2 linked regions of the Elephas maximus indicus genome follow. The protein of the gene in region 1 interacts with the protein of each later gene in a pairwise test. Links are inferred from orthologs where the notes say so. Each region holds a gene or a part of one and is shown in the gene's direction. Other genes may lie near its edges.

Region 1 (11,339 bases):
ATTATGTTTCTTTTTGTGAATCACAGAAAATCTAGAAAGTAGTGCTCTGTTTTGAAACCTCTTTCTATTTCTCTTTCCAAATTTAAAATGGGAAATAACCAAAAGAAAAGCAAAATCGACGACCCATCATCCCACACACCTGTTGTCTTTAGGATAAAGAAATTTGGGCCTAATTTGGCTCAGTATTTAGAAAAATGCCATGATACATATATGTAGAGAGAGAGGGAGAGAATTTTATATCAAGGAAATGGCTCACAGGGTTGTAGAGTCTGGAAAGTCCCAAGTCTGTGGGTCAGTCTGGAGACTTCTGTATCACGTAGCTGCAGGAGCTGGTGAACCCAAGATTGGCAGGTCAGACAGCAGGACTTAGGCTCACAGGCTGTGGAAGTTGACGAATCTCAAGATCAGCAGGTAAGCTACTAGCTCAAGTCCCAAGAACTGTAGGTCTGATGAGGATCCAGACCGAGCAAAAGCCAGCAAGCTTTGTCAGAAAGTCCACATATATTGGATGCAGGCCACACCCACAAGGAAATGCTCTTTCATCTGATTGGCTGCTCATAGCAGATCTCATTACGGAGGTGATTACATTACATCAGATCTCATTATGGAGGTAATTACATCATTACATAGCTGCCAAACTACATCCTAAGTACCGAACCACTAAGAATCATGGTCCAGCCAAGTTGATACACAACCTTAACCATCACAGAGAACTTTTGAATTGACCACATTAGTCATTTTAAGATGTAAATTAGAAGCAAAGGGATCTAAAATAAATTAAAATTGGTGGAAAGTGTTCTTACACTCACGCTGAAATGTCTTTTAGCTCTTTGGGGTTTTTTGTTGTTGTTGTTGGCCCTGTATTTTTACTTTTGTTTCTGTTTGTCTTTTTAGGTTGACCTGGATTTTGGTGCACAAATTGGCTTGATAAAAGTTATTACAAAGGATCTCAAAGTCTTTTCAGCTGATTTTGTCTTGCCTCTGAGAAATCAAAAGTAATGCTTTGCTTTGAAATTCTAAAAATTTTTGTAGGCACCCATTTTTGTAGAATCATCAAATCTTGAAAGATAATAGATGCCAATTCACAGGGGGAAGTGGCAGTTCCTCTCCTGTTTTATGAAATGCCCAGGGGGAGATGGTGGCTCTGGACCTGTTTTATGATAGTTTCTCAATAAAGGATCACAATGCTAAAATTAAAGCCATCAATAGCTACTTTAAAGTACTTTGCAATTGGAGGAACTAGTATATTTAAGGCCTGTATCAGTCATCTAGTACTGCTATAACAGAAATACCACAAGTGGATGGCTTTAGCAAAGAGAAATTTATTCTGTCACAGCCTAGTAGGTTACAAGTCCAAATCCAGGGTGCTGGCTCTACGGGGAAGCCTCTCTCTGTCGGCTTTGGAGGAAAGTCCTTGTGCTCAATCTTCCCACGGTCGAGGAGCTTCTTAGGCGCAGGGGCCCCAGGTCCAAAGGAAGTGCTTTGCTCCTGGTGCTGCTTTCTTAGTGGTATGAGGTCCCCAACTCTCTGCTTGCTTCTCTTTCCTTTTATCTCTTGAGAGATAATAGGTGGTGCAGGCCACACCCCAGGGAAACTCCCTTTACACTGGATCAAGGAGGTGACCTGAGTGAGGGTGGTGTTATAATCCCACCCTAATCCTCTCAACATAAAATTACAATCACAAAATGGAGGACAACCACAGAATACTGGGAATCATGGCCTAACCAAGTTGATACACACATTTTTGGGTAGACGTAATTCAATCCATGAAGGAGTCTATAGGAAAAACACTGAATGATGAAGGAAACATCAAAAAAATATGGAAGGAATACACAGACAGTATACAAAAAAGAATCAGTCAACATTCAACCATTTCAGGAGGTTGCATATGATCAAGAACCAACGGTACTGAAGGAAGAAATCCAAGCTGCACTGAAGGCAATGGCAAAAAACAAGGCTCCAGGAATTGGTGGCAATAATCTCTGCAATCCCTCCAGGAATGCAATATTATTTTTCGCTTACTATTTTCCTAAGTAGGGGCATTCCTAATGGCTTCCACTTGGTTTTTCCTACCGTAATAGCCCTTACTCCACTTGTCAGGGATCCAATGTGGGGGTTCTTCTAATTGCTGAGTATATCTATTCCAATTACCCATTCTGGAATTGGGCAAATCATTACAGGATGGGTTCTCCAGAGAAGCAAGACCAGCATTTATAAAAATATCAAGGAAGTGGCTCATGCAGTTGTAGAGGCTGGAAAGTCCCAAGTCCGTGGGTCAGGCTGGAGGCTTCTCCTGACTTTGTAGCTGCAGAAGCTGGTGAACTCAAGATTGGCAAGTGAGGCAACAGGCCTTTGGCTCACAGGCTGCAGAGGCCATCATATCCTAAGATTGGCAGGTAAGCTTCTAGCTCAAATTCCAAGCACCAGAGGTCAGATGAACAGGAGCCAGCTGCACGATCCAGAATGAGCAGTAGCCTAAAAGTTTTGCCAGAAAGTTCACCTATACTGGATGCAGGCCATACCCCAAGGAAACTTCCTTTCAACCGATTGGCTGCTTATAACAGATCCCATCATGGAGGTGATCGCATTATATCAGATCTCATCATGGAAGTGGTCACAACATTATAAGACTGCCAATGTACATCATAACTGCCAAACCACTGAGAATCATGGCCCAGCCAAGTTGACACGCAACCTTAATGATAACAAAAGGCAAAAGAAAGGTTTGGGTTAAGGTGTTGATGTAAAACGATTCTGCTCATTTTTACAATGGGATTGATCAGAATGTCACCTTTTCTTAAGATCCTGGTGAAGAACCAGATGGTATCCAGTGGAAAACCAACACCATGAGCTTAAAGAACTTGCCATGATTGTCATCTAGGAACCTGACTAAGTCCAGGTTTTGTTCATCCATATGCTATCTCCAATCTCCAATCAAAGGAGGGAGTGACTTAGGGGTCAAAATTGGATCAATTATTCCCTGTCCTTAAATATAAAGACTGTGACCCAGGTAGAGCTAGAATCACAGGAACTCACAAGGACAACAATAGCTAGGACCATCTTGGAAAACATCTTTTAAGAAAGCTTTCATATAAACAAATACTTAGAACACAAAAGACTCACACAGTTTCCTGACTGTTTTTGCTGAACTTGTACCAATTATTATTAAGAAAGACAATTCAAAACATACAATCATGAGGATTTTACAGTTTTCAGCCAATCTATGAAAAGGTGAAACTTTTAATGGTTTTACCCATTTGTAATGTCTGTACATACTGATGATTCAGTAACATTCATTGGACACGGGTTGCATGGCTCTGGCAGCATACTTGTCCTTTTCCTATTTTTGTCTCTTGGAACACAGGCAGAATAAAATCCGTCTTCTTGCTTTACTATAACTTTGTTGTGATTTTACTCTAGGACAACCTCAATGTAAAGAAAACAAAAATCCTCACAACTGGACCAATAAGCAACAATATGATAAATGGAGAAAACATTGACGTTGTCAAGGATTCCATTTTCCTTGAATCCAAAATCAACACCCATGGAAGCAGCTGCCAAGAAATCAAAAGACACATTGCATTGGCCAAATATGCTGCAAAAGACCTCTTTAAAGCATTGAAATGCAAAGATGTCACCTCGAAGACTAAGGTGCACCTGATCCAAGCCATGGTGTTTTCAATCACCTCATATGCATGTGAAGGCTGGACAATGAACAAGGAAGATAAAAGAAGAATTAATGCGTTTGAATTGTGATGCCAGTGAAGAATATTGAATATACCACGAACTTCCAGAAGAACAAACAAATCTGTCTTGGAAGTACAACCAGAATGCTCCTGAAAAGCAAGGATGGTGAGACGTTGTCTTACATATTTGGACATGTCATCAGGAGGGACTTGTACCTGGAGAAGGCTATCCTCGAAAAAGAAGAAGACCTTCAGTGAGATGGATTGTCACTGTGACTACAATGGGCTCAAATATAGATTGTGAGGATGGTGCAGGATCAGGCGATGTGTTGTTCTGTTGTACAGATGGGTTGCTATGAGCTGTAACCAACACAATGGCACCTAACAACAATAACAGTGGATTTAGGGCTCCTTACTAAATCATATAAAACCCTGGCGGCATAGCGGTGAAGAGCTACAGCTGCTAACCAAAATGTCGGCAGTTCAAATCCACCACGTGCTCTTTGGAAACCCTACAGGGCAGGTGTACTCTGTCCTTTAGGGTCGCTATGAGTCTGAAGGAAACCCTGGTGGCATAGTGGTTAAGGGCTACAGCTGCTAACCTAAAGGATTGGCAGTTCGAATCCTCCAGGCGCTCCTTGGAAACTCTGTGGGGCAGTTCTACTCTGTCCTACAGAGTTGCTATGAGTCGGAATTGAATCAACAGCACTGGGTTTTTCGGTTTTATGAGTCTGAAAACATCACACTGAGAACTTAAATTGCAATGTTTACAGCTAGCTGTCCGATTATTCCATGTATGAGAGAACCTACTGCCATTACAGAGTTTTCTCCCTTAATGCCTTCAGGCATGTTGGAGGAGGTCCCAGCATTTAGTTATTTGTATGCAGATGTGACAACTGAATGAAAATATTTGTTTAAATCTTTCAATTTTTAAACGCATAGAGAATAGTATAATTAGGAAAAAAGTACCAAGGACCCAGTTTAGTATTCACAGAATTTAAGGTCAGTCTCAGCTCCATTCATTTATTCATCCATTAACTAATTTAATCAACAAACACTTTGGAGCACTACCCATGGAGGAGGCTAATTCTTCATTTGTAAGTTGGGGATAATAATATTATCTACATTAAAGGGCTATTGTGAGGATTAAATGAGAGACTATGTGAAAATTGCTTTGTAAACGAAATAATATACAAAGTTGAAAAACATTTATTAAGGACCTAATCAGTGTGAGGTACTAAACTGGACGCTTAGGATTTGAAGATAAAGAAAGCCATTACAGGTACTGAGGGAAATTTAGTCTGGAGGAAAAGACAAAGACAGAAATGAATGTATTAGAAGGCAGTATATGCTATAATGCAGATAAATAAAATTGCATTGTTCCTCAAAGGATAAGGAGCCAGATGATAATTAAACTGGTGTGGTAATAGGCCAAATGGAGAAAGAATGGCATTCCAGGTTAAAAAAAAAAAAAAAAGAGCCATGTACAAAGAACGTGGAAACCGGAGACAGCATGATGTGTTCAGGGAATTGAGAAATTCATTGTGGCTGGGGTAAGAGATTCATGAAGATAATGGAGAATCTAGTAAAATAGATTGAGGAAGTAGTATAAAAAGCCTTGTACAGGTAGGCCCTGATTTACGACTTTTTTTAAAATCATCTTATCATTAATAATATGTACTACATACAATTTGTAGTGCATAACTGGCTGATGTTCTTCTCTTGCCAACCCTCAAAGACAAATACAGACCGATTTTATAAAGACATTGATAATAAAAGGCAATAATAATGAAAACTTATTTAAAAAAAAAAAAGATTTATGACAGAGTCCTCAAAACGTAACCCATTGTAAGTCCAGGACTATCTATATATTACTATACCTAAGAAGGGAAGACATCGGAGGTTACTGAGCAAAGAGATAACATATTTTAGACAGGTAATCCTATTTTGATTGTGTGGAATTGGATGGAGAAAAGGGGCAGAAGGGGTAGAGAATGTTGAAATAATTGAAGGAAGAAACAGGCAGGTGGAGATTTCTAGCAGGCAGCTGGAAATACAGACCTGGAGTTTGGAGAAGTCAATCTTGGAATATAGCTTTAGAAACAAGCAAAGTTTTAACTGGTCCACCCAGGAAGAGGGTATGATGGCAGAAGAAATACTAAAATGCTAACATTTCAGTACTTAGGTCAGAGAAACAAAAACTATGTGAGTAGTGCTTCAAAACCTAGAGTGAGAATTTCGAGAAAGGAGAGGTCAGAAAAGTGTGGATTGGACTTGGAAATTAGGAGGGTTTGTGTACAATTGGAGTTAGATGCAAAGGAACAGTGGATGGAATGGTAATGGAAGTTGAAAATGAGGCAGGTGATGTAGATCCTTAAGGCTCGGTGTAGTCTGCACACCAGCAGCGTCGCCTGGGGGCTTGTTAAAAATATTCTCAGCATCCCACTTTGGAGAGTGGCGTCTGGGGTCTTACACTAGCTAGTGGCCATCTAAGACGCATCAATTGGTCTCAACCCACCTGGAGCAAGGAAGAATGAACACCAAAGACACAAAATAATTATGAGCCTAAGAGACAGAAAGAACCACATAAACCAGAGACTACATCAGCCTGAGACCAAAAGAGCTACATGGTACCAGCCACAACCGATGACTGCCCTGACAGGGAACTCAACAGAGAAACCCCCAAATTCTCATAAAAAAAACCAGACTTAATGGTCAGACTGGGACTGGAGGGACCCTGGAGGCCATGGACCCCAGACCTTCTCTTAGCCCAGGGCAGGAACCATTCCCAAAGCCAACTCTTCAGAAAGGGATTGGACTGGAATAAAAAACCAAAAAACCAAACCCAGTGCCATCGAGTGGATTCTGACTCATAGCGACCCTATAAGGGGATGGAAAATGATCTGGTGAAGAACCAGCTTCTTGGATCAAGCGGTCACATGAGACTATCTGGAGGGGAGACGAGAGGGCAGAGGGGGCCATAAGCTACCTGAATGGACACGAGGAGAGTGGAGGGAAGTACTGTGCTATCTCGTCAGCAGGAGAGCAATTAGGAATGTATAGCAAGGTGTATGTAAATTTTTGTATGAGAGACTGACCTGATTTGTAAACTTTCACTTAAAGCACAATAAAAATTAATTTAAAAAAATATTCTCAGCTCCTTCCCAAACCTACAGAATCCAAACCTGCACTTGAACGAGCTCCCGGGGAATTAACAGGCAAATGAAAAATAAACGTGGACCACCGAATTTTCTGCTAAGTTTGATGATAGTGGGCAGAGATCATGGTAACTTGAAAAAAAAGCAAGTGTTAAAGGTTTGGACCCAAGCCCTCACGTTTTAATAAAAAAACGCTTAGCTTATTAAAACTTCAGGAGGATATGCAGAGAAGGTTTGGGAAGAAGGCAGCGAGTCTCCCCTAACCCAAGACACCGAACAACCTCACTCTACAGCGTGCAGCGCTGGGGATGAAGATTTAAAATATCCGGACCCAGCGCACAGGAAGTTCACACCCCAATGGCGCATGGCATTATGGGATTTGTAGTCCAGGCCCCCAAGCCCCACGTCTCGATTTACAACAGTCTTGTCCCGGCTTTCATGGACCCGGGGCAGGAGATCAGGTGTCGCTGTCTCTTTCTCAGCCGGAGGTCCAGAGCGCAGGAGGAAAGCGAACCTTAGGTCGCGCTGGATTCGAAAGTCGGGGCGCACACGCTCTGCGTCATGGCGGGCTGAGGCCGATGATGAATTCCGGTGTGTATGTCAGGGTTGCTGTGTCACTCGGCCCGCTCGGCGCGCCCCTTCCCGGCCACCCTTCCGCACCGGTTTCGGGTTCTTCCGGTCTCCCGGCGCCCCTCACCTGCGGATCCCGTCAGTACCGCGGCCTGGCGAACGCCTCGCGTCCCCTGGGGACAGACCTCGCGCGGCGTCCGGGTCCCGCGGCGCCGGACTGACGCGGGCCATGGCAAGCGGCGCCGCCAAGTACCGGCTGAGCTGCTCGCTCCCGGGCCACGAGCTGGACGTACGCGGCCTGGTGAGCTGTCTCTATCCGCCGGGGGCCTTTGTGTCCGTGTCCCGAGACCGCACCACTCGCCTCTGGGCCCCAGACAGGTGAGCGCTGCGAGTCGGTCTGTCTCCTGGCCGTGTTGCACGCTTTTGGGCGAGTGTGAAGAGAGTGACCCTGTCCTGCTCTGTCTGCTCTCCTCTCTCTTTCCAGTCTTCCGTCTGCTTAGCGTTCTCTCCCACTTCTGAGAGCTCTGGCGCTCAGGACGCGCAGTGTAAGAAACCAGCGAAATTTAAATGGCAAGAGCATCGCATTGGGGGATCACAGACCCGACTTCTTGTCCTAACCTGACCACTAACGAGTGGGTGACCTTGGCCGAGCGTATTACCTTTTGGGGCTACAGTTTTCTTATTTGTAAAGTGAGAAACTTTTGGACAACACGATCTCCCAAGTTTCTTTTAGTGTTGAAAATTTATTGATGCCAAGTGCAACCTCTTAAATGAAATGTGAAGGTACTTAGCAATTGAAGTAAGTCATGTTTTTTCCCTTTGAATTTTCTCTGTAGTTTTATCTCAGATTTAATTTTTGAAAACCTTAGTTCTCAAAAATTGCATTGCGAAAAGTTGCATTGGCTCCCCTCGTTGTCCGCGTCTGAGTTTCTTATTCTGGGATATCTGATGGGCTTGGGAGGAGGACATGAAATACCCTCGTGTCTTATGGAAATGCGTGGATGTGCTGTTTGCTTGAGAAGAGATCCCATTGCTTTCAAAAGATTATTCTAGGGGTTCATGATCCAAGAAGTGTCAAGAACTACTCCTTCAGTTTAGATAAAGTTCAAGGATTCAGCCCTGATTTTACTGATTATAGAAAGAAATTTAAGACCTGGAAGGCAGATTTCAGTTCAGAAAAAAATAAATAAAACCAAAATTAGAATGAGGTACTTTGTTGTGTAGTAAGTCTCCCGTCACTAGGGGTATTTACTCAGAGTTTGAGTGAGGGTCTCTGAATTCAATTGATAACTATTTATTGAGTGCCTCCTGTTTGTTTGAAATCTGGAGAGGAATAAATAATAAGATCCCTGTGTTTATGGAGCTTATTTATAGTTTGGTGAGGAAGATGGATCAAAAAAAAAAGCAAGTAAGTAATTGCAGATTGACATAAGTACTATGAAGGAAGCAAATATAGAATTGGATGGAGAAAAATGTTAAAGAAGGAAGCTTCTCTTAGGGGGCATTGAGTTTGTGTTAATGGTGGTGGAATGATTTGGAAAAGAATAGCAAGAATGGTTGCACAACTTGAGGAAAAGGAATAATCAGTGTTACTGAGTTTTGTTAAGTGTGTTTTCATCACAATAGAATTAAACGTAAAAAAGGAAGAAGAAAGCCTATCTAAGGAGGTGACATTTAGGCTGATGTTTGAAGAATGACATGGAGCAGATCAGGAAAGGGTTGGACTGGAAGAGTGTCTAGGCTGCAGGAGGAGCAAACACAGAAGCCCTGGATTGGGAAAGTCCCTGTGTGGCAGGAGGGATTGAGTGGTGAAGTGAGGGCAGGTCTTACAAGCTGGCAGGAGCCAGGACCTGCCATGGTAAGAGGGCAGAGAAAAGGGAGTGTGGAGGGGAAGCCTTCAAAGGATTTCAAGCAGGAAGCAGTGTGATCTGATTGACCTGTTGAGAAGTTTTACTAATTGCTGGTAGAGAGTAAATTGGAGAGGGCAAGTGTGGAAGCAGATCTGTTTGGAGGCTTTTGCAGCAGAGCAGCTAAGCTATGAGGGTAAGACTAAACTAACAATATTATAGAACAAATTCTTGCGTTGGATTGAAGATGACCTTTAAGAGTCTCTTGTAACTCTAAGATTCTATGATATTCCAAATCATTAGTAACACTAATATGTAACTTTTTTTGTGTATACCCATTAAAAACCCATTGCTGTTGAGTGGATTCTGACTCAAGTATACATAAAAAAAATGATTTTTATGTATACTTGAGTACAATTATGGATTAAGCTTGTACTTTTAAAAATAAGTCTATTAAAAGCATATGCCCAGTAGACTGTAAAGACATCGCAATAGTGAGATCTAAAAGATGCTTGTTGTAGTAGTTGCATCCTGTTATTACACTTTTGCATATTTTGTAGGACCTGGCCAGGAGCCCTGGTGGCACAGTGGTTAAGTACCCGGCTGCTAACCAAAAGCTTGGCGGTTGGAAACCACCAACCACTCTGCAGGAGAAAGTTGTGGCAGTCTACTTCCATAAAGATTTACAGCCTTGGAAGTTCTATGGGGCAGTTCACCTCTCTCCTTTTGGGTCACTATGAGTCAGAATTGACTTGACGGCAACAGGGTTTTTATTGTTTTAGCATTTGGCTAGGTTCTCAAGAGCTTATATCACTGCAGTGGTTGCATTTACTAGGAATTTGTGGAACTTGGGCTGCAGTGAGCCTCTGTTTGAAAACCAGTTTTTTTCATTTAACTCATGATTTTTTATTTTTATTTTTTCAAATTTATTCATGCATTTATTCAACTGACACTGAAAGCCTGCATTGTGCAGGGCACAGGTATATAGGTAGCGGGTAATATAAATATCAGTGAGATAAGATTGTTTTACTTCTCATGTTCAGCTATTCAGATTAGAGTGTTTCATAGTCACTGGGGATGGACCTCTTATGCGTCCCATCTAGAGGGTCTCAACCATACCTTCCCTTTTGTTATAAAAAGCATCATTAAAGCAGACATCCTGGCAGTTTTTATTTCATGATATATTAATAAAGTTAATAAAGTGCTATAAAATGTTTGGAGCCAAATAGTAAATGAAATTTGCTTTCCCATGTACATTGTTGATGTGGTTCTAGATCAGGATGGACTGGGAATGATAGGAGAATATGGTTCCAGTGAGGCAGAAGTAGTCCTGTTCTAGGGTGGATTAGACTTGTCTTTCACAAAAGCCATTGAAAAACCAAAAAGTTTCCTGGCCTATGAATGTCCTCCAGAGTGGAGGTGTCAATTTTTTGATTGTACGTTGAAGCAAACTGTTGATGTGCCATTGTTTCAGACTGCTTCAGGCCTCTGTGAGCCCTTTCCAAACTAAACTGCATTCCCCAAGTTTGTTACCAGCTTCAGGGTAGAGAGAGGTGAGGTAAGGATTCAGCAGCTTTGCAGTAAATTTTCCCTAATCATTGTGGAGGCTAAACTGACCTTTCCCTTGTATAAACGCTCAGCACTTTGGGTCCTTAGTCAAATAGTTCTGTGGGATTTGTTAAGAAAACAAAGAAATTCCCTTCCCACTCCATCCTGGTTTTCTTTTCTGGGAGGTCAACGTTTTCATCTCTTTTAATTGCTTATTTTGTATTTTATTTCCATGACTATACTTAAAACGCTTATGTTGCTATTTCTCTTTTTTTATTTTAACTGGATGCCATCGAATTTATTTCAACTCATAGCTACCCTATTTTTTATTTTAGGTGTTATTAATTTCTACTATGGATTATAAGCATTTAGCTCTCTTTACTCTTCAAGTACCCCTATCAAACATACATCGTTTTTGTGCCCTGATCCTTATAATATAACTTAGCTGAATTTTGACTAAATCAGTATTTTGTATTTACATAATAACAATGGCTACGTAAATTCTTTCTACATCTGAGCTTTGGAACAAG
Region 2 (10,613 bases), on another chromosome or scaffold:
CCAGCCTTGGGCTCCTGGCTGGCTGCTTTCCACATTCCACTCGCTTTTCAGAACCCAGGCGTCCTGGCCTCCAGCTGAAACCTCTGCATGTGGCTTCCCCTCCCTGGCCCCGTGACTCAGGCACTCTGAAGGGGCCAGCCCTCCTCTTGGCACTCAGGCACTCACCGGGTGGGGGTCAGAGGGAGGGGGCTAGGTGGTGATATCACAGCTGAAGGGTATAAAAGCTTCTAACCAAGAGAGAATTGAAATCGGAAGACACAAAACCCGGCCGTACAGCCTGCGATCTTGTGGACCCCTCAGCCTGATCCCCACAGACTGCTGATCTCTGGTTCCAAAGTCTTACTGGTGAGAAGCCTCTGTGGGCCAGGGAGGGGTGAGGGGAGGTGGTGAACAGACAGGATCAGGACTGCTTGGACAGGAGTGGTACCCGTAACAGGTGGGGGGTGAGGAGTCCGGGGTCCTTATTTCCTCCTGTTCCATATCTGGAAGAGCCCTGGTACAGTGGTTAAGTACTCTGCCGCTAACCGCAAGGTCAGCAGTTCGAACCCACCAGTTACTCTGAGGTAGAAAGATGTGGCAGTCTCCTTCCGTAAGGATTTACTGCCTTGGAAACCCTATGGGGGCAGTTCTGCTCTTGTCCTATAGGGTCACTATGAGTCAGAATCCACTTGACCACAATGGTTTGGCTTTGGTTCCACCTCTTCTTTCTCACTCGTGTCTCGTTTCTCGGTTTTCATATATGTCGCCGACTGATGTTTGTTTTACTTAGGTCTTTTCTCTTTGTGGCAGCTGGGAGTCGTTCCACCTCTCCCTCCCTAGGCTGAGTCAGTCACCCCCTCCTCTTCTTGCCCCAGCACTTTGTTTATTCATCAACTGTTTCTAGCACATCACTCCTTGCTGGTCTCACTTCTGTCTCCGTCTCTCTCACATGCCCGACCGTATTTTGTTCCTTTTTGTCCAAAACCGAGCATGTAGCCTGGGTGCAGAAGCTGGCTGACAAGTGAGTGCGTCTTGTCTCATTCCCACCTTTTTCTGGCTCCTGTCATGGCCCCTAGTTCTATGTCCCCGTCTTTGGAAGTTTTGTTGAGGCATGGGGCCTGGGAGACGTGGAGTCTAAACAGCTTTACCTATTGCTTCCAGACTCCATGCTGGGCTCACCCTGCCTACTGTGGCTCCTGGTCGTGACCTTCTCCTTGGTTCCCAGAGCTCAGCCCTTGGCTCCTCAAGACTTTGAGGAAAAGGAGGAAGATGAGACTCCAAGGCCACCCTCCCAGCCTGTCCCCTGTGACTATGACCGCTGCCGCCACCTGCAGGTACCCTGCAAGGAGCTGCAGAGGGCCGGGCCCACGGCCTGCCTGTGCCCTGGACTCTCCAGCCCCTCCCAGCCACCAGACCCACCTCGCCTAGGAGAAGTGCACGTGGTGGCCGAGGAGGGCCGGGCGCTGGTCCACTGGTGTGCTCCCTTCTCCCCCGTCCACCAATACTGGCTGCTGCTTTGGGAAGGCAGCGGGGCTCCCCAAAAGGGGCCCCCCCTGAACTCTACCGTCCGAAGAGCAGAACTGGAGGGACTGAAGGCTGGGGGGGCTTACATCGTTTGTGTGGTGGCTGCCAACGAGGCAGGAGAAAGCAGCGTGCCCCGGGCCGACGGGGAGAGCCTCACGGGGGCCAACTTTCCTGCCTTCGGGCCCTGCGGCCGGCTTGCCGTGCCCCCCAGGCCGCTCACCTTGGTCCATGCGGCCGTGGGCGTGGGCACAGGCCTGGCCCTGCTCAGCTGCTCGGCCCTGGTCTGGCACTTCTGCCTACGGGAGCGCTGGGGCTGTCCCCGCCGCCAAGCCCGGGCCGCAGAGGGGCTCTGAAGGGGCCTTGGGGCCTCTCTGGCAAAGCCAAACCCCACCTGGGGAGCTCAGCCCAGACCCAGGGGAGGAGCCGGAGATGGCCTCTGCAGCCTGGCTCGCGACCCGCTGGAGCTGGATGGCGGAGCACCAGGTTGTGCGCTGAGCTGCAGGCCCCAGGTGCCCAATTCTCTGGTCTGAGAGCTTCCTTAGGTCCCACACTTGTCACTTTGTTTCTGGCTGAGATTGAAGGAAGACTATAGACCAAAAAAAAATAAGCAACAAACCTGTTGACTTATGGCGTCCCCATGTGCTTCAGAGTAGAAATGCACCCCCTAGGGTTTTCAAGGCAGTAACCTTGCTGAAACAGAGCCAAGCCCTTCTTCTGAAACGCAGCGGGGTGGATTTGAATTGCCAACCTTTCAGTTAGTAGTCCAGGGCAAAACATTTTCGCCACCCAGGGACCAGACAACAGAACGGGGGTCGGCAATTTTTTTTAAAGGGTCAGATAGTAAATAACATAGGCTTTGCCATTGAAGAGGATAAAATCAAGGATTTTTTGCGTTTTTAGTATGTAGGTACTTATATAACCATTTGAAATGTAACCATTTAAAAATATAAAAACCATTCTTAGCTTGTAGCCTTTACAAATCAGACAGCAGACCAGATTTGGCCTGCTGGGCTGTAGTTATACAGCTTTCTGTCTTACACTCTCAAAAGGGGTCTGCCACTTTGGGTGGCCTCAGTGGGACTTTGAGAATATAAGCTTCTGCAGGATGGGAGTCTGAGGACAGAGACCACCCCCTTCTCCTTCTGCCTTTTTGTTCAGTTATTAAGGATGAACACATCCGAGTCAGAGTCCACCTGTGTCTAAGGGTAGAAATAAAAGTCTGATGCATTGGCAAAAAGGGAGGGATTGCCTGAACTACCATCTGTTCTGCTTGTTTAAAAAAAAAAGGGGGGGGATTTCCCCCTTTTCCACCCCCACTTGTGTTTATTGTGCATCATTAACGACATTAAAGGAAGCTTAAAAGACAGATATTTCCATTTTCATGTTTTTTTCAATCCCCTATCCACACATCTATTTTTCAGAGTGATACACACAAACTTTTGAATTTATGTTTAAATTAACTGGGCACAGAAAAGTCTATTTTACGTTGCTGCATTAAAAAAACAAAAACCAAACCTGATGCCATCTAATCGACTCCAATTCATGGCAACCCCATGTGTTACAGAGTAGAACTGCTTCATATAGTTTTTTGAGCTATAATCTTTACAGAACCAGATTGCCAGGCCTTTTTTCCTCTTTTCCTCGGTGCTGCTGGGTTGGTTGGAACCTCCAACCTTGAGGTTATTAGTCGTGTGCCACCCAGGGAACTTTACTGGCCTTATAACATGTTTTCATAATAAAAGAAATATACAAATTTCAAGGAATATTGGCAAATATAAAGTCGCAGTTCTCCTCAAGAGCTAATTGCACTTAGCAGAGAAGTCTTTCTCTATGCAATGCAAATATTTTGCTTTTTCAGGCAATATATCACGGACAAAGTTCCATGTCAGTAAACGAGGTATGTTGATGGCTGCATACATTTCCGTAGGAGGATGCTCCTTAACTGACTTTAGCCATTGCTCTTTGTCGGAACCTTTAAGTTGTCTTCAGGGTTTTCCATGAACATCCTTGTTTGTGCATCTTCAAATGTTTTGTGAGAGTATTTCTATAGGATACTTACCTGAAAGTAGGTCAAAAAGGCAGCACCGTAAGTTTTAACCATTCGCTTCTTACAGAGACTCTAGAATAAATTCAAAATGCATTTGTTTTCTAAAATACACCTGTTATCACACTGCAGTGAATAACTTGTACCTTCTAGTTTAATTCCTGTATTTCTTCAGCATTCATCCCTTTATGAATAATGACAGAGCCTGTTATCTCATTATTAAAGACGTGCTTTACATGCATTCTCAATCTTCACTACAATCATTTCACAGGTGAAAAATCCAAGGTTCTAAATGGTTTGAAGATACAACCAAGGAGTCGAGCTAGGATTTGGGCCTAAGCTGCCCAACGCCAAAGCGGATGCTCTCCTCTCCACCACGGAGAAACAACGTTTAGTGGTTTAATGAATGAACACCTTCTGGGTTTAAATGCTGGCTCTCCTACTTATCAGCTTGTGACCTTAGGTAAATTATCTCATCTTTCAGTGTCTGTTTCCTGTGACTAATAATACATCATAGGGATTGCTATGATGATTAAATGAATTAATCATATAACAGTCTCCAGTGGGTAATATATTATCAGCATCAGTAATTTATTATTGCTCTGCCTCCTAAGAAACAAAGTGAGCTTGACTTTGTAGCAGGCACTGTGCAATAAGCGTATCTCCACCTTCAGGGCTGAAAATGAGCCCCCTAGGTTGAAGGCACTCCGAACATTCAGAGGTGGCAACAATGGACTGGAGCATACCAAGGAGCGTGAAGATACCACAGGACCAGGCAGTGTTTTGTTCTGTTGTATATGAGATCGCCGTGCGTCAGAGTAGGCTTGAGAGCAACTAACAACAACCTTTAGGGATCTAACAGCCTGGGTAGTGGTGGAGGGCTAAGCAATCAACGAAGACTACAAAGGAGGGGTAAAAATGTATAATGGGGTAAATACTAGAGCTGGGACCAGAGAGGGGTGCTCAAAGCAGGCTTCCCTTAGAAAGCAAACCTTGAGTTGAGTCCAGAAAAATGACGGGGAGTTAAGGAAGCCCTGAGAAGAGGCAGGGCACCCCAGAGGGACTAGCAGATGCAAAGGCCAGGAGGAAGGAGAAGGCTCTGTTTTGTAACATACACAGGTTACCCTGAAGTGGTGGGAGGTGAAATTGCGTAATAACAATCAACATTTATACAACACTGTCTTGCCAGGCACCTAAGGTAGGTGCCCTAACATAAAAAGGGGACAGGGGGAGGAAGGCAAATCAGCATTTGAGTGTTGTTCTGGGTAACTGGGGTGTCCTGGAGAAATTTTAAGCAGGAAGGTGAAGACAGGATCAGATCCTGTTTTTTTGCAAAGATCCCTCTGGCAGGTGGGCGGAGGATGGCTCAATTCCCCGGAGAGGATGAGTGGGTCAAAGAGTGTGCACATTTCTACGGCTCCTGATAAACACTGCCAAATAACTCTGCTGATGGTTGAGCTAATGGGCCAGATTCCTCTTAATATCTAAAAAGGGTGAGGCAGCGTTAACTCCCGGGAACTGGCCCCACCCCGCCCACGGGTTTCATGGCCGCGTCGTCCGTCCTCCCCACCGCCGCCTCCCAGCGCCGCCCGCCCCGCCCCGCCCGCGCTAGGCTCCGGCCGCCAAACCAGGCACGTGCTTTCTGTCTCTCCGCAGCACCCGTCCACGGCCGCTCCCACGTGACCCAAACAGATTCGGGCACTTCCGCCTCCCCTCGGCTTTCTTCTTGTCGGTGTCCGCGGCGGACCCAGAGCCCGGTGAGCGAGCGAGCGAGCAAGGGCCCGGGCCGCGGCGTCGGGGCGGCCTTGCGTGCGGGCCAGGGGCGCCCCGCGGTGACCCGCCCCCGCCCTCCTCCTCGTCTTCTCAGGCTCCGGCGGCGACGGCGCCATGGCGGAGCTGACGGCTCTGGAGAGTCTCATCGAGATGGGCTTCCCCAGGGGACGCGCGTAAGGGATCCCCCAGCCCCGGGCCGCGGCAGGGCGCAGACCCGCCCCGGCCTATAGCCCCGTCCGGCCTCCAGCCCTGCGCCCCGGCTTGTCCAGCACCATGGCTCCTCGGCGCTATTCACGGTGTTTTTGCTCTCAGGGAGAAGGCTCTGGCCCTCACGGGGAACCAGGGCATCGAGGCCGCGATGGACTGGTGAGTGCTTCGACTAGGTGGCCAGCGGTTGGGGGTTGCTCGGAGGGGGCAGCCTCAGCGCCAACCTGTCTCCCGACCCTCCCTGCCAGGCTGATGGAGCACGAAGACGACCCCGATGTGGACGAACCTTTAGCGACTCCCCTTGGACATGTCCTGGGACGGGAACCCACCTCTTCAGAGCACGGTGGCCCTGCAGGTCCTGACTGGAGGACGAGCTGTGGTTATTGTGGGGTGGGGGGCCTGGAAAATACAGAAGGCAATAATACTGGTGGCTTGTTTGTAGGACCCGGGTCTACCGCAGGAGAAGGAAAACCCAGTTTGAGTGAAGAGGAGAAACAGGAACAGACTAAAAGGTACAGTAAGGCACAGTCTCACAATCTGGGGGTCATCTTCCATCTCTCTCCAGTACAGAAGTCTGGTCTAAGAAGCTTGAACTTTCTCTTCCCACTCTTTTTTTGGGCAGTTTCCATTTTGTTTTTTTCACTTATTTTGGGATAGATGTTCCCTGATTTTGTTTTCCAGGCTAATTGTCATAAATTCACGTCCCCACTCAACGTCCATTTCTCTTGAGCTCTATCCTTGCTGCAACACAGGATGATGGAGCTGGTGGCCCAGAAGCAACGGGAACGTGAAGAAAGAGAGGAGCGGGAGGCGTTGGAACGGGAACGGCAGCGCAGGAGACAAGGGCAGGAGTTGTCAGCTGCCCGACAGCGGCTACAGGAAGATGAGATGCGCAGGGCTGCTGAGGAGCGGAAGAGGGAAAAGGCTGAAGAGTTAGCAGCCAGGTCTGTGTGATCGGGATATTGGATTAGAGGGGAGAAAATAAATCAAAATTTGCTTTGTCAGTGGCTGACCTACTTTCTTCCTTTCTGCCTTCCAGACAAAGGGTTCGAGAAAAGATTGAAAGGGATAAAGCCGAGAGAGCCAAGAAGGTGGGCGATTGGATCCCCTCTTCCAGCTTCAGAAGGAAAGGATGGGCTTATATATGATGTGTTTCTCCTGAGCCGGTGAGTGCCCAATGGAGTGTTTTACTTTGTCTTCTAGTATGGTGGTACTGTGGGTTCTCAGCCATCCCCATCAGCAACAGAGCCAGGTCCTGTTCCCTCCTCTCCCAGCCAGGAGCCTCCCACCAAGCGGGAGTACGACCAGTGTCGCATACAGGTACTGACTGATTTCTTTCTCACTCCTGGGACCCTTCCTTGGTCTGTAAGGTGCCCGGCTTAGGGTTTTTTTCAGTTATGTTCCTTTTGCCAAACCTCTCCCTTTTTTGTAAATGACTTTTGAAATCCTACCTCCTCTCCTCTCAGAGGAGGTATCGAATTTCATCTGTCCCAGTCTTATTTAAATCCATAATACCGCTCTCTTACTCAGCAATTACTCTTGTTCATGGCTTTTATTTGGTTTATTGCACAGTTACTCGGGTAATATATCTACTCACGTATTTTTATATAATCTCGTCTTTGTCTTCTCAAATTGTAAGGGAGGTGGGAGTTTTTTTTTCCAGCATTTAATAAAGCAGAGTATAAGTGGTTGTCATTAGGTGCTCTAAATAATAATAGCGCTGGTTCAATCTCTCTAGGAAGGATGGGCCCACTTCAGCTTTTCTGTACTGGGGCCCCTCACTCAGTCTTGACTACCACAATACGGTACCTCTTCCTTACCTTCTAGGTCAGGCTGCCAGATGGGACCTCACTGACCCAGACGTTCCGGGCCAGGGAACAGCTGGCCGCCGTGAGACTCTATGTGGAGCTTCACCGTGGGGAGGAGCCAGGAGGGGGCCAGGACCCTGTGCAGTTGCTTAGTGGCTTCCCCCGACGGGCCTTCTCAGAGGCTGACATGGAACGGCCTTTGCAGGAACTGGGTATGGCATGTAGGACCAGAAAGGAGCGCTCGGGGGTAGAGGGACATGCCTAGGAAGGGAAGGGATTTGATGAGAAGGAGCTTTGGAGATGATGTGAGGCCAGGAACCTTTGGGGCAAAGAGTAGGTATCGTTGTGGCTCAAGCCTGTTTTCTTCTGTCTTCAGGACTTGTGCCTTCTGCCGTCCTCATCGTGGCCAAGAAATGTCCCAGTTGAGGGGCTTTTATCCTACCATCCCTCTCTGACCTCTTCATCTTTGATAAAGCACTGACATCCTCTTCCTAATAAATAGATCTTCTGAGTTCTGTACGTGCTTGACTCCTTCCTGAATGGTTGGGATGGACAAATGGAGGCAGAGGAGGGAGCTAAAGGGAAGGCATTGGAATAGCCCCTTGTTCACATCTTTAGTTTCCAACAAAAAAAAAACTTGTTTTTATTCCCCCTGGTCTGATTAGCTAGTTGCTGGAGAGGCTGGGGGTGCTGGAGAGTAGGGAGTATATAGTGGATGGTACCTTTTGTTACCATGAGTGAGAGCCAGTATATACATACGCTTAAAATCCAGATTTTGTCACTAAGTGAATATAAGGATCAGCACAAAGCTGGTACCTATGAGGCAGAGGTTAAAGATTTCCCAAATGTCAAACTTTTCCAAACTGCTGTCCCACTCCATCATCTTTAACATCAGCTACTACTCCTCCCGTCTTTAGGTTCCATAATTCTCTACAGCGTCTCACAGAACTTACCAACTGTATCAAGGAAATGGCTCACAGTTGTAGAGGCTGGCAAGTTCCAAATCCATGGGTCAAGTGTAGGCTTCTCCTGACCCACACAGCTGCAGGGAATGATAAACCTAAACCGGCAGGTTACACCCCAGGGTACTGGCTCAGGATGCTGTGGAAGCTGGCAAATCAGGTCAGATGGCAGGCCTCTGGCTCAAGTACCAACAACTGGAGGTTAGGCAGTAATAAACTAGAGGCAGGGTCCTGATGCAGAAGAAAAAGAGCCCCACTGGAGCACCCACATATGTACCTTAAATGTACGCCACACCCCAGAGAAGGGTGTGACTTGAGTAATGTGGGACTTAAGGCTGTGTCTCAAAGTATACCCCATAGTAACCCTGACTCATTAACATATAGAGGTTAGGATTTACAACACACAAAACGGAGGACAACCATACAATACTGAGAATCATGGCCTAGCCAAGTTTACACACAGCCCCAGCCACCACAGGTTCCATATACCTTATCTGCACAGTCCCACTCAATCACTGCGTGTGAGTCACAAAGACTGTGGCTAGAAGGGCCACATTAAGTAATTCATTGTACCACAGTCACTTACTAGCTTTGCAGCTTGACTTAATCCTAGTTTTTTCTTTAGTAAAATGGGGATAATAGTACCTGTTTCTTAAGAATTGTGAGGATTAAATAACACCGCTATAAGGTGTTTTAGCAATGTGTCTTGCACCTAATAAGTATTAGCTACTAAAATGAGATTTTTTTTTTTTAAATGTGGCTGTCCCTACAAATGTCAAGAGGAGCATTAGGGTGACTTTTGTAAGTGCATCGCTTGTGCTCTAAGAGTAAGTCATAAACCACACTCGTGCTTTCCTCATCATGACATCAGAAGGTACTGAGTGCTTTATATGTAATAACAGATATGAGGGCACTATTATCCAGGTGTAGGTACAAGTCTCCCATTTAAGAGATTAGGATACCAAAGCACATGACTTGCCCACATTGACACAGCTAGCAAGTAGTAGAACCTGAACACACACCTGGGAAGCCCCTGACTTTCGGGCTCAGGCTCCAACCACACTTCTCCATGGCAGTCCCTCTCACCGCTGCTCATCACATGACTCTAGTGCTCCCTTAAACAGCTGCCAACGTCTTGCTTCTTATTCCCAGGCTGGCCATAAGTAACACTGGAAAGATCACGCACGAGTATATTTTGCTTACACCTCCACCATCTGGCAGCTGGAGATAGCACCAGTGCTCATAGCTGGGTTTACACCTCAGGGCTAAACCAAAACCAGACCCAAACCTATTGTCAACTCAATTCCAACATTTTGCTTACAGCTCCACCATCTGGCAGCTGGAGATAGCACCAGTGCTCATAGCAACCCTACAGGACACAGTGGAACTGCCTCCTAGGGTTTCCAAGGAGTAGCTGGTGGATTCTAACTGCTGACCTTTTGGTTAGCAGCTGAGCTCTTAACCATTGTGCTACCAGGGCTCTGAGCTCAGCTACCAAGCTTTATTTAGTGTTCTCAGTTTATTTAATAAAAGCAGCCTTTTTCCAACTGAATTCTTACTTAGGATAGAAAATAACCAAAAGAGGAGTGGCTTCATTGACTTGGGTATAGGGCTTGGGACCTCACTACTTTATCTCATCCCTCAGTGGCATCTCCAACAGATCCTGTAGATTCACAGAGATTGGAAACTCTTACAGTGAAAACCCTAAGGAGGGGGGGACCTACATTTACTGAGTGCTTGTGCTATCTGTGCCAGGCACTACACTTTGTATTTCTAAGTTAACTTTTACAGCAACCACCAAGGCATAGTTACCACCTTTTATAGATCAGGACTGAGGCTTGGAGAGGTTTTATAACTTGCAGGAGTTGAACCAAGATCTGTCTGACTCAAAAAAAAAAAAAATTATATATATATATATATACATATATATATACCCCTCACTACCCCCCAATAGCTAGTCAACCTCTCTAAATCCATCATGGCACATGGTAAGTGCTAGGTGCCCCTCCGCAGCCTCACAGGACAGGAGGAGCCTAGAGTATCTTCTCTATGTCTCCGGCTACAAGATTTTTCAGGATGGCTCTGATTTCAAGAATGTCAGTGGGTTATCCCCAGAAGTTTGTGCAAATTTAGGCCACATGACCTGATAGTGTTTCGAAAATATGGTTCGTTATTCCTGTTGAAATTGTCAAGGATTTCGTTTTACTTGGATCCACAATCAATGCCCATGGAAGCAGGAGTCAAGAAATCAAATAACGCATTGCACTGAGCCAATCTGCAAAAGACCTCTTCAAAGCCTTCAAAGGCAAAGATGTC

What was found.
Region 2: the proteins of PLAA (region 1) and UBXN1 interact in binary tests that used the Homo sapiens proteins (3 or more experiments, as listed by UniProt). The two-hybrid records come from large-scale screens. The link is inferred for Elephas maximus indicus from reciprocal best matches to the Homo sapiens genes PLAA and UBXN1.

Annotation. Positions count from the first base shown.
Region 1 is NC_064827.1:36,633,054-36,644,392, reverse strand, and holds the start of PLAA (phospholipase A-2-activating protein), read left to right. Parts: upstream 1-7,245; 5' UTR 7,246-7,643; coding exon 7,644-7,792; intron 7,793-11,339. UniProt on the Homo sapiens protein: Plays a role in protein ubiquitination, sorting and degradation through its association with VCP. Involved in ubiquitin-mediated membrane proteins trafficking to late endosomes in an ESCRT-dependent manner, and hence plays a role in synaptic vesicle recycling.
Region 2 is NC_064825.1:125,850,186-125,860,798, reverse strand, and holds UBXN1 (UBX domain-containing protein 1), read left to right. Parts: upstream 1-5,204; 5' UTR 5,205-5,304; intron 5,305-5,414; 5' UTR 5,415-5,434; coding exon 5,435-5,493; intron 5,494-5,632; coding exon 5,633-5,686; intron 5,687-5,775; coding exon 5,776-5,882; intron 5,883-5,969; coding exon 5,970-6,039; intron 6,040-6,279; coding exon 6,280-6,471; intron 6,472-6,566; coding exon 6,567-6,618; intron 6,619-6,730; coding exon 6,731-6,847; intron 6,848-7,354; coding exon 7,355-7,547; intron 7,548-7,711; coding exon 7,712-7,761; 3' UTR 7,762-7,869; downstream 7,870-10,613. Other genes in the region: LRRN4CL (LRRN4 C-terminal-like protein), read left to right, coding at 1,146-1,856.